Linked DNA regions of Mus musculus: region 1 is reported to be linked to region 2. The links are microRNA targets in miRTarBase. Many come from high-throughput screens and were not tested one by one. Region 2 holds a microRNA gene; the other region holds the end of a gene's coding sequence.

Region 1 (5,308 bases), not on the chromosome of region 2:
TGTATTCAAAATGTAAGAACAATCATGCAAACTTGAAAATGTATTGTTTGTTGCTATATAGCAAAATTTCATCAAGATTTAGTGCATTAAGAAAATCATTATCCAAGCCCACACTAAAGGAGATTGGAGAGAAAATTTCTGAATCTTGATGTTGGATGCTAAGTGTCTCTTGTATGTGTTTTTGTTTTTATTTTTTATTCATTCACTCTCTTCTGCGTCTTTCGTAAAGTGGTGAGACACAAACCTTGTGTGGCCTCATCTGGATCCAAGCTTTTCCTCATGGCTCGTTGCTAAGTGTACTTGTTTTCTAGGACTTGCTGAAAATATTACCACAGATGGAACGGCTTAAAACAACAGAAATTCCCTCAAAGTTTATTCTCTCATAGCCCCGGAGGCCAGAAATCAGAAATCTAGGTGTGGGGAGGGGAGTGCTGGTTCTTACAACTCCAGGGAGGAATCCTTCCTTGCTTCTATGCCTCTTCCTAACTAACTTGTGGTTGCCAATCCTTGACTAGTAGCTACATCACTATAATTTCCTTTGTTTTTTCCAGTCTTTTTCTCTGTGTATGTGGCTCTGGCTGTTTTTATATGGACACTAGCCATTGGATTGCAGGCCTTCCTTAATCTAGTATGATCTCATCTTAATTTAATATCCGCAAAGAGTCTTCCAAATAAAGTCATATTCTAAGGTTCTGGGTGGATATGGACTCCAGAAGGATACTATCCAATGCACTATGCTAGCTGACCTGCCCAGAACCATCTTCCTTGATAGTTGGGCATCCATTGGCAAAGCACTAAGATTGCAATGATTGTGTTTCACAAAGATGAGACAATCTTCCTGAGCTTCCATAACTCCATTTTTTTGGTATCAGCTTCTAACAAAACAATTCTAGCATGAATAAAATGCTTAAGACATGGAGCCATTGTAGTCAGCATTATCTTTAATAGCCAGTTTAAAAATAATCTATATTTATAGAACAGGAGAGTAAAGATGATACATATATACATAATGGACAAAAAGCTATATATACTATTTACATACTGTATACATACATATATATATATATATATATATATATATATATATATATATATACACACACACACACACATATATATATAAACTATATAAAGTTTGTAGTACTGCAAATTCTACATGTTTAACAAGTAGAAGATAAGTATTTTATTCCAATAATAAGTACGTTATTGTAATTAAGCTTTAAGAAGCAGAAAACCTTAACTCTCTAAACTCCATTCAAGAAAACCATTCAGTTGCATCATCAGAATATTAGTGCTCCTTGTGGTCTACCGGTTGAGTAAAGCTATTCTAGTTGTGTATTTCTGTATCACAGCTTCACAACTCAGCAGCTCCAAGCAAGGCCAATCAGTTATCTTGCGCATTAATTTACATCTTGGTCAGGAGGAGTCTATATGGGCTGATCCTCTCTGCTCCATGTGATCACAGCTGGTATGACTCAACCGGGACCAAATGATCTGTTTTATAAAATAGAATAGAAGCCCAAATGTGGTAGCTCACATCTATAATCCCAGTGCCAGGGGAGGCCGAGGCACCAGGATCATGAGGGTTTGGCCAGACTTGGATATATAACACGATCCTTCCTAAAGAGAAAAGGCGTTCTGTCAGATGGGGAGCTTGGTTGTCAGCAAGCCTTTACTTCCTGCCCCGTTTAGAGTCCTTACCTTTTCTCACATCATGGCTACCTCATTGTTAGAAAAGAGGTCCCAAGAGAAAGAATGTGCAAACTTCTTAAGGCCAGGGCCTCACCTGGGTCATGTTTAACTGGTCAAATTGGTACAGAGCCAGTACAAATATCAACAAATTGTAGTCATGTATTTGTGAGTAGAAAATGAGTAGTTAAATCTATCAGTATGGCCTATTTTCCTCCATTTTTCCCATTTTATTTGATATGTATGAGAGTTTCGTATGCATGGATGTCTATATGCCATTTGTGTTCCTGGTATTCATGGGGGGCAGAAGGAAGCATTAGATCTCCTGGAGTTATACACACACACACACACACACACACACACACACACACACACACACACAAAACTTCACAAACCCATGCACGTGTGTATAAACGGAGGTGACAGTAGGAAGGTACGTGCGCAATCATGAGAGCAGAGGAAGAGACTGCTCGAGTGAACCATGCTCAGGGAAAATGATATGGACTCCCACCTCTAAAATCAGTAAGAAATTCTCCAAGCAGACAGGGAAGGGAGAGGGTAACAAGGGCAAGGATTCGGGAGTTGGAGGTTAGCATACCTTCTGTACAGAATGAGGCTGGACCTCAGGAATATGTGAGATTGGTAGAAGTCTATACAAGGAAGGCACAAGAATCTCAGTTGTCTATGCCACACAAATGGATGAGAACTGCTGACTCCGAAAGGTTTCTGGCAAAGGAATAAGATGACAGATTTAGGGTTTGAATCGATTTAATTTAGCCAGATTTTTGGTTTAACTCTGAAGTTAATCATGGATAGACTTGAGAAGGGCCAGATTGAAAACAGAAATTAGTTGGGAAGGAGACTCTGGAGCAATGCTGATGGCTGAAAGAGGGTCTAAATTGTAGTTAAGAGAAGGGCAAATGTAAGAGACTTACAGAGCATGTGCAGAAATGGTGCATAGTTAATGAGTTAGGAAATGGGAGTTAGCATAATGACAAGGGCTTCCAAGTTCCTCCTTCGAGCAAACAGTTAATCACAGTAGGGGGCATAAGGTTTTATGGTAGCAGGCAATGAGTTCTGAGGCTTGTATAGTTGGTCAGTGATGTCCTGACAGAACCTCAGGTCAAATGAACACTCTCTCTTTGTTCAGTCCTGGTTCTAAGGTCCTTTCTCAAGAAATTCAAAGCTGAAATCCTTATATGTGTGCCACCCTTCTAATGGAAGAAATAATTCTCTACTCAGCTCCAAAGGGACACAGAATCTCAAACACGGAAAGGCCCACCCACATGTGAATAGTAGTCAGAAATTCCTGCTCACGTTTGTCTTTCTCTGTCCTGCAGTCAGAGTAGATGTTGCCATGACCACTATGATCAAGTGTTTATTCGCACTCAGGACCACCTCAGCAATCTCTGGATGTACATGCTGAATACGGTGTGATGTTTACGTTGGCCATGGGGTGGTGGTGGTGATGACATTATGTGGTAACCTTTGATAAATTTCATCCTTGATGCAGTAAGTTTATAAATTCTAAGCATGTGGAACAAAGTATTGGTCTGATATTGAATTCAGATACAGTGCATCTCAATGGGAACAGGAAATTGGAGGCATTTGTTAATTACTCTAGAGAGAGACCCCAAGTCTTCACAAAGCCCTCCATGGCTATGACCTTGTATAGACTGACTGGAATCCCTTGTAACTCATCAAAGCTGATATAGTAGTTGTACCATCATGAGGTTTTTGTGGGAATCCAGCTGTTTAATGCAGGAAGGCATGGTAGTACTTACCTTGTATCCCATATTTAGCCAACACTAGTTCTTTCTCTTATCACCTTTGTCATGTCGTTATAGGCTTAAGTCCCAAGGAGAAGAAGATGGGTCGTAAGTGAAGGTAAAAGGACAAGAATGAAGTCTCTAAAGTTTTATCTTTTGATAAAACATCTACTCTGGTCTATGGCCACCACCATCCTTGGAAACTTTAGTAATAAAAGAGCCAGGTACAAATTTGCTAAAATAGATTTTTTTTTTTTAAGAGGAGTGGGATGAAGTGCAGAGAAACCAGGATTTTGGGGCATGCTTTTGGCTTATAATGAATTTTATAATTATTTAATTCACTAGAGCAATATAAAAACAGGAAGGTAAAAGACAAGAATTAAAACTCAATTGCCTAGTGGGGCTTACTTAACATGCAAAAATGACCCATGTGTATGGGAAAGTAGCCCACAAAAGTTTATTCTATTGACTCATTATTACTTTGGACAAACTACCAACATTTGTTTTCATTTTTTACTCACAAATACAACTTTTAGAATGATTCTTGATTTTTTTTTAATTTCTACAGCCCTTGTACTTTCAAAGCACTCCCATGCCTTTCTAATTGACTACTGACAAAAATATAAGACAAAGTGATATTGCTAATCATATCTGAAAATAGCAAATATTTAGTATAGATTTACTATACTATAGGTGCTGTGCCAAGCCTCTATACCAGCATTTCCTTTAACCCTCCTGACAAACCCACGGGGTAAGTATTACCATCATGAGGCCAGAAGAGAGACCCCCAAGGCAAAGCTCCCCCCATCCCCCTCCCCCCCTCCCCATCCCCCCGCAGTGGTCTGACTTCAAAGCACACTCTTCTGCTCTAAGCATCGCAGGCTACAGTGAGGCATAATCAGATGCATGCTCTTTCCTAGCACAGCCATGGGCCGGTTTGATCTCATCTAATTATTAACAGTCATGTAAACAGCTCTGTGACACTGGATGGAAATATTAAGCCTTTTGATTCCCTATTTCCATATTATGTTCCTAGATTAGTTCAAGATAGACATACAGCACATTTGTACACGTTCCCATCAATGGGAATCTGTACAAGATCAGTAATTGTTATCAAAGACTCAAAATACCTAAAATACTTAGTAATAGGCCGAGTCTGTTCTTTTTTACATGGAGCACAATCTAATGATCGTAGCTAAGAAATGTAAGAAAAAGCAGCATCAAGACTTATAAATCTTTGAGCAACTCCATAACAGAAAGGACAAAATCTGTTTGTAAAAATGTATTTTTATTTCATAAGCATTGGGGAGGGGGTTGAAAAAAAAAACACTGTATCCTATCCTGTTGCTCCATGCAAATAGCTCTTCAACGAGATTCTTCAAATTTTACGTTTTTTCCATTCTGGTTCATTCTTTGACTCTTCATCATCAGACTCCACTTGGGCAAACATGGTTTTTGGCTGAGTTCTAAAACAAAAGTTAAAAAGAAGAGGAAAACGTGAGTTGGTTCTTGTATTAGATATTGTCTCTTTGATCAAGCAGGAGCAAGTCTGGGGCACTGATTGCATTTCAATTATTAAATATAAATCATTAAACTTCTGGCAAAAGAAAAGCATAGTGAAAATTTAATTATGTTCAGGAAAAGAGCCAAATATTTTTTGAAGGTTTTCCCTCAGTGGCAGACACTTTATGTTTGTCTTTCCCCAGTGGACCCTCGTGCATCTCTGCCACACTGAGCCCAAGTGTGACCATTTGGAAGGATACGCCATATGGTCACCACACAAGACCCTACATGGCACTTACCTGCACCTACCCAGGCTTTTAGACTTCAGTAGTGCACGTGACTGTGGT
Region 2 (5,308 bases):
ACACACACACACATACTCACACACACACACACACACACACACACACACACATACACACTCACACACACACACACACACACACACACACACATACACACACTCACACACACACTCACACACACACACACACACACACACACACACACACGAGACACAGACATGCATACATGCCCACATGCATGCAAAACACCTTCACACATAAAATAAAAATTAGCATTAGGACATGAAGAAGAACATGTCCAAGTCTCAGCTTACTGAACTCCCTGGCACCTTCTTAACATTCTACATAGTACATTCTAGTTTTCAGTGAAAGGTGCATCTAGATGTTTAAGGCAGATGTCCCGGAGATGTCCACTCCTTCCTTTGTCTCTTCATATATTCAGTTATGTGCATGCCATACCTCTGTCCAGTTCTCACACCTTTCCCTCGTCCTCCTACTGTATCCTTGGGAGTCCAAGCTTATGGCTTGATTGGACTCTGTGGCTGGGCATCCTGGCCAGTCCCTCCAGTGTGCCCACTATTTTTACAAGCAAACCCACATCTCAGATGGCATCAGTCACTATGACTTAAATGACAGCTCCCGATGGCCTGCAAAGCATGTTTCAGTGACCCCCTTCTCAAGACTTTACTTCTAGTTCATTCCAAGCCAGAATCCAACAGTCTGTTTTGTTTCCTAGCACAGAGCTTATTCCTGCTTGGGATACCACCTTCAGTTCCTTTCTCTGTCCATTCACATTCCACTCATCATACCAAGATCATTTCCAGTGCCTTCTGCTGTGTCCAACCTCTCCTGAGCAGCTCTCAGAACAAAAGATAACCTCTTCATTTCCCATATGCACCGCCATTACACCCTACTGCAAGTTCACGTCTCCTAGATTAGTAGTGAGCAGCGGGCCAGAAACTATTTTCTTCTTTCTCTGTACAACACTTAGAAGATACTTTTTCAATGTCTCCTTTAATTCCATTAAATATATCAAGTTTTCATGGTAGAAATCAGGTGTTAAATAAAATGCCTGCCTCCCAAAGACCCCCATCAATGTCAGAACTCTAGATCCTTGAAGGAGCTGTTTTGTGTTCCTTCACAGCAGAAACTCTGTACAAAGTAGGGGGTTTGATATTTGCAGAAGAGGAAAGGTAACTGTAAGATAAATAGCAAGCAAACGTATAGGGATAAAAGGGGATACTTAGCAAGGAGACTTCCACTCAACGTAAGTTGCAAAAGAAATCTTGTACACACTCCATCACCATGCAGGTAGCCAGAGAAATATCTACGAGCACCCTAGAAGCCAAAGCAAGGCAGCTTTGCCAACAAGTCACAGATCCTATGAAGCACGCGCAGGCCTCCACCCATCTGGTGCTTGTTCCAGAGTTCTCCCCACCTCCCACCACTCCCCTAAATCAATGTGCTAAAGACCAGTGGGAGAGAGTAAAGGCTCCCTAGAGAGGTGCCGAGGGTGGACAGCTTGATCCAACAAGCCAGGCTGCTGCGATGTTACAAGTGAGAACATTTAGTCCTGGGTGAAAAAAAAAAAAACCGAGAAAGAGACCAAGAGATGACAACTTGGGGAGACATTTGTTTTAAGAGAAAAGTTGTCAAAACACAAAGAGAAAATGAAAAGGGGGAGCCAGAGGAGGATTTGCAAAATAGAGGGCACGTGATTTACGAGACCCTCCCCAAAAAGGGCTGATACAAACTGAGGTAAGACAGGTCATGTTAAGTCGTGATATCTAAACTATGCAGAAAGTTGGATCAACTTCAAGAGCAGCTAGGAAGAGCAGGACACTCAGAATCTGCCTCTTTCCTTTCTTCTCAGAGAATGCGCCTCCCCAGGAAGGAAGCAGGTCTCCAGGCTGGAGGGAGGCAGTGCCATCCCAGCTAGACACGTCTCTGGTAAAAGTCCAGGGCTCAAGGCCAAGGCCACCCCTTCAGTCCTGGCTCCAAAGCCCACTTACTCCGTACAGCCCCAGAAATCTGGGTACAGAGAAGAGATTCTCTAAGGAGGGGGATCGTTTCCAGGACTAAGCATGTGTTACAGTCCCCAGAAATTGACCCCTAATATAATATTCAAAGAATTTCCCATAATGCCCACTCTGTGATAAACACTCACCAGAATGAATCTGCACAGGCAAGCTATGCCACTAACTGATCATGTCCATGCTGAGCAAGTCTGCTGATCACCCCAGGCTTTGGCTTTCTCAGCTGTGAAGTGGGAAGGATTCTACTGATAATCACGTGTGTCTCACAGGGTGCTGTGAAGTCCCTGGTCCCCAACCTTGATAGTACAAATTGAGTTTCTCATGTTTTACTCCAGACCAATTTCATCTGACTCTTTAGGGCTGGGGCCCAAGTATCAGCTGTCAATTAAAAAAAAAAAAAAAAAAAAGCAAAAACAAAACAGAAACTTTCCGGGGCTGAAGAGATTGCTCAGTGGTTAAGAGCACTGGCTGCTCTTCCAGAGGGCAAGTATTCAATGCCCAGCTTCCACATGGCAGATCACAACTCTGATTCCAGGGGATCTGACATTCTCACACATACCACACAAAATACTAATATACATAAAATAAAAATAAATAAATCATTCTTTAAAAAAAAAATCCTCCCAAAGATTAGACTAAGCTGCTTAAGTAGGGGACTGTTGCACCACTCCAACATGACAAGGTTGACTAAAGCCAGTACAAATCATGACAGGATCACGGCTCACATGAACTGGGGGTGGGGTGGTGGGGTGGTGGGGTGGGGGAGGGGTAGAACTATTCCAAGTTGGCTTAGGTGCATGAAGCATATCGCCCCCATTCCAGCAGAATGTAGAGCATTGGTTAGCTCCTTTGATGACAAGTGGAAATTGGAAATGCTCACACAGTCTAGCCTGGGTTTCTTTGCTCAGCAGACCAGCTTTGAGCATGGTACCTTTCCGAGACCACAAGCCCAGCCCATGACTAAGCCATTATCTTCAAACTCCCTTCTTAACCCAAAGGCCATCTTCAGAGAACCAGGACAGGAAATGTGAGCCCCACAATTGCACTGAAATGGAGAGAGAATGCAATTTCCAACTGGGGAGCTACCGCTGGCCTTTGTCTGGCCAGGAGCAGGTCACAGGGCAGGGGGTGCAGTGGGGGTCGGGTATTTGTGATGAAAGCAGAAGGCAGAGACTGCTTCAGGCAACATTTTCAGCCTGGTCTTGGGTTGAAAGCGATGCCTGAGCTGGCCTTTGACTCCCAGTTGGCAGCTTTGCCGCCGGGAGCTCTTACCTTACAACAGCTGTAATTTTCAGGTTTCTCCATCTGAATGCACAGAAACACTTTTCACACCAATTACCCTAACTTGGAGATTCCTGGGGTCAGACTTGTGCTCATCACCTGCAGACTCCTCTGAACTGATGTGAGCTCAGGCGAGCAGAATACAAGGCTCACCATGCAGCTCACATACTATGTAGAATTATCAGACATGCTGGAAACTAACTGGTAAGTTATGCCTCTTCTTTGAAACAAAGATTCGAGAGTATGAATCGAGAATCTATTTTATCTTTTAAAACTAGTTTAAAAATCCAGAAGCGCTAAGGGGTGATCTAATTGTACCTAATTCAATACTAGAGTCAAATGTCTTATACTACGTGTGAATTTTATGTTGTTTTGCCTTCATGGTAAACGTCCTGGAGAGGTCAGGGAGACACAGGATATACCTGAACATAAGAAAAGCAGTTTGCAGCAAGCCCATAGACAACACCAACTTAAACAGAGAGAAACTCAAAGCAATTCTACTAAAATCAGAAAGAAAACAGCGTCGTTCACTCTCCCCATACATATTCAATATAGTACTTGTAAGTCTGAGCCACAGCAAGAAAACTACTGAAGATGAGATTAGGGGGATAAAAATTAGAATAGAAGAAGTTAATATTAATAGTATATAAGTAAATAAATATATATTCTAACCAAATATATAGTATATAATTATTTATAGATGATATAATAGTATATAAATGAATATATATTATAATTAAATATATAGTATATATTTATTTGTAGATGATATAATAGTATATAAATGAATATATATTCTAATTAAATATATAGTACATATTTATTTGTAGATGATAGAATATTACATTATCAGTGACACTAAAACTTCCACCAGGAAACTCCTATAGCTAATAAACACTCTTAGCAAAGTAGCAAGATACAAAATTAACTCACAAAGTTAGTTGTTTTCCTATACACAAATGACAAACAGATTGAGAAAGAAATCAGGAACAGCATCCTTCCCAATAGCCTCAAAAAATATAAAATATCTTGAGGGTAATTCTAACCAAGTAAGTGAAAGACTTGGATGATAAAAACTTTAAGACCCTGAAGTAGGAAACTGACTACGGTATCAGAAGATGGAAAGACCTCCCATTCTTGGTACCAGCAGGTACTTTGCATACTACTAAAGAAGTGTGAATGCCAACCCAACTACAGACCCTTTGACCCACAATGATGTCCTTCCTGCAAAATACAGTAGGGAAACGCTGGCACAAAGATTACAGGAGTATGTTAACAATATCTGACTTGACTCCAGGCTCATTCCAGGTGATAGAACCCATACATGACACTGCTCAAGTGCCCAAGAACCGGAGACTAGATAGCCCAGGGACCTAGGGGTAAACAAAATACTACTGTTCACTATAGGAACATAGCAACAAAATGTCCTAACAGCATTCTGCTATATTCATAGATCAGTGTCTTGCTCAGTTGTCAACAGAGATGTTTCTTCCTGCTGTAGATGGGAACAAAGAGAGACCCGCAGCCAGACAGTATGCAGGGAGTGAGAGAGATTAGAATGTTCCCTCCTAATTGGATTGTCCCCATCAAATCCCTCCCCTCGGGGTTCAGGGAACCCTGTGGATGAGGAGGCAGAAAGAATAGAAGACCAGGAGGGATGGAGGACACCAGTAAATCACGGTCTTTTAAGTGCATCAGGACCAACTCAGAGACTGAGACAGGGCGCACAGTCCTTCCATATCCACATCGGATGGGGTACTAAAGCTGAAAAGAGAAGTAGACCCATGACCATCCCTAACCCTGAAAATACCTCCGAATGATAACCACTCGTAAATGAGAATTTAGGTTTTCTCTCAGGGAGGCTCTTGGGAAACGAGCTTCTCTCATGGATAGCGGACGCTTAACAGTAAACGAACTCAAACGTACAGCTTTGGAGTTTCCAACTCTCATAATGCCAGATGGGAGGCTTTTTTCTTATTTATTTTTTTACCCTACAGAACTTTTATACATATATACACATATATACATACATATATATCTTCCTGTTTAA

The links. Region 2 holds the annotated microRNA mmu-miR-694 (CUGAAAAUGUUGCCUGAAG, at 3,154-3,172, opposite strand). A microRNA usually pairs through its seed, bases 2 to 8, with sites in the 3' UTR of a target mRNA and lowers its output. Matches are read on the target gene's strand: a 7mer-m8 pairs with bases 2 to 8, a 7mer-A1 pairs with bases 2 to 7 and ends in A, and an 8mer does both.
Region 1: the mRNA of Wdr70 is a reported target of mmu-miR-694. Seed matches in the 3' UTR shown: 7mer-A1 at 4,773-4,779.

Annotation. Positions count from the first base shown.
Region 1 is chr15:7,868,330-7,873,637 of GRCm38, forward strand. It overlaps Wdr70 (WD repeat domain 70), which reads right to left. Exons shown (of 18, transcript NM_001081402.1): 18 at 4,726-4,924. The coding sequence ends at 4,837. Among named protein-coding and RNA genes, the nearest start is that of Gdnf, 55 kb to the left of the region's middle.
Region 2 is chr18:66,216,123-66,221,430 of GRCm38, forward strand. Mir694 (microRNA 694) reads right to left here and starts at 3,211; the gene lies at 3,142-3,211. The region is part of intron 2 of Ccbe1 (collagen and calcium binding EGF domains 1); the gene reads right to left.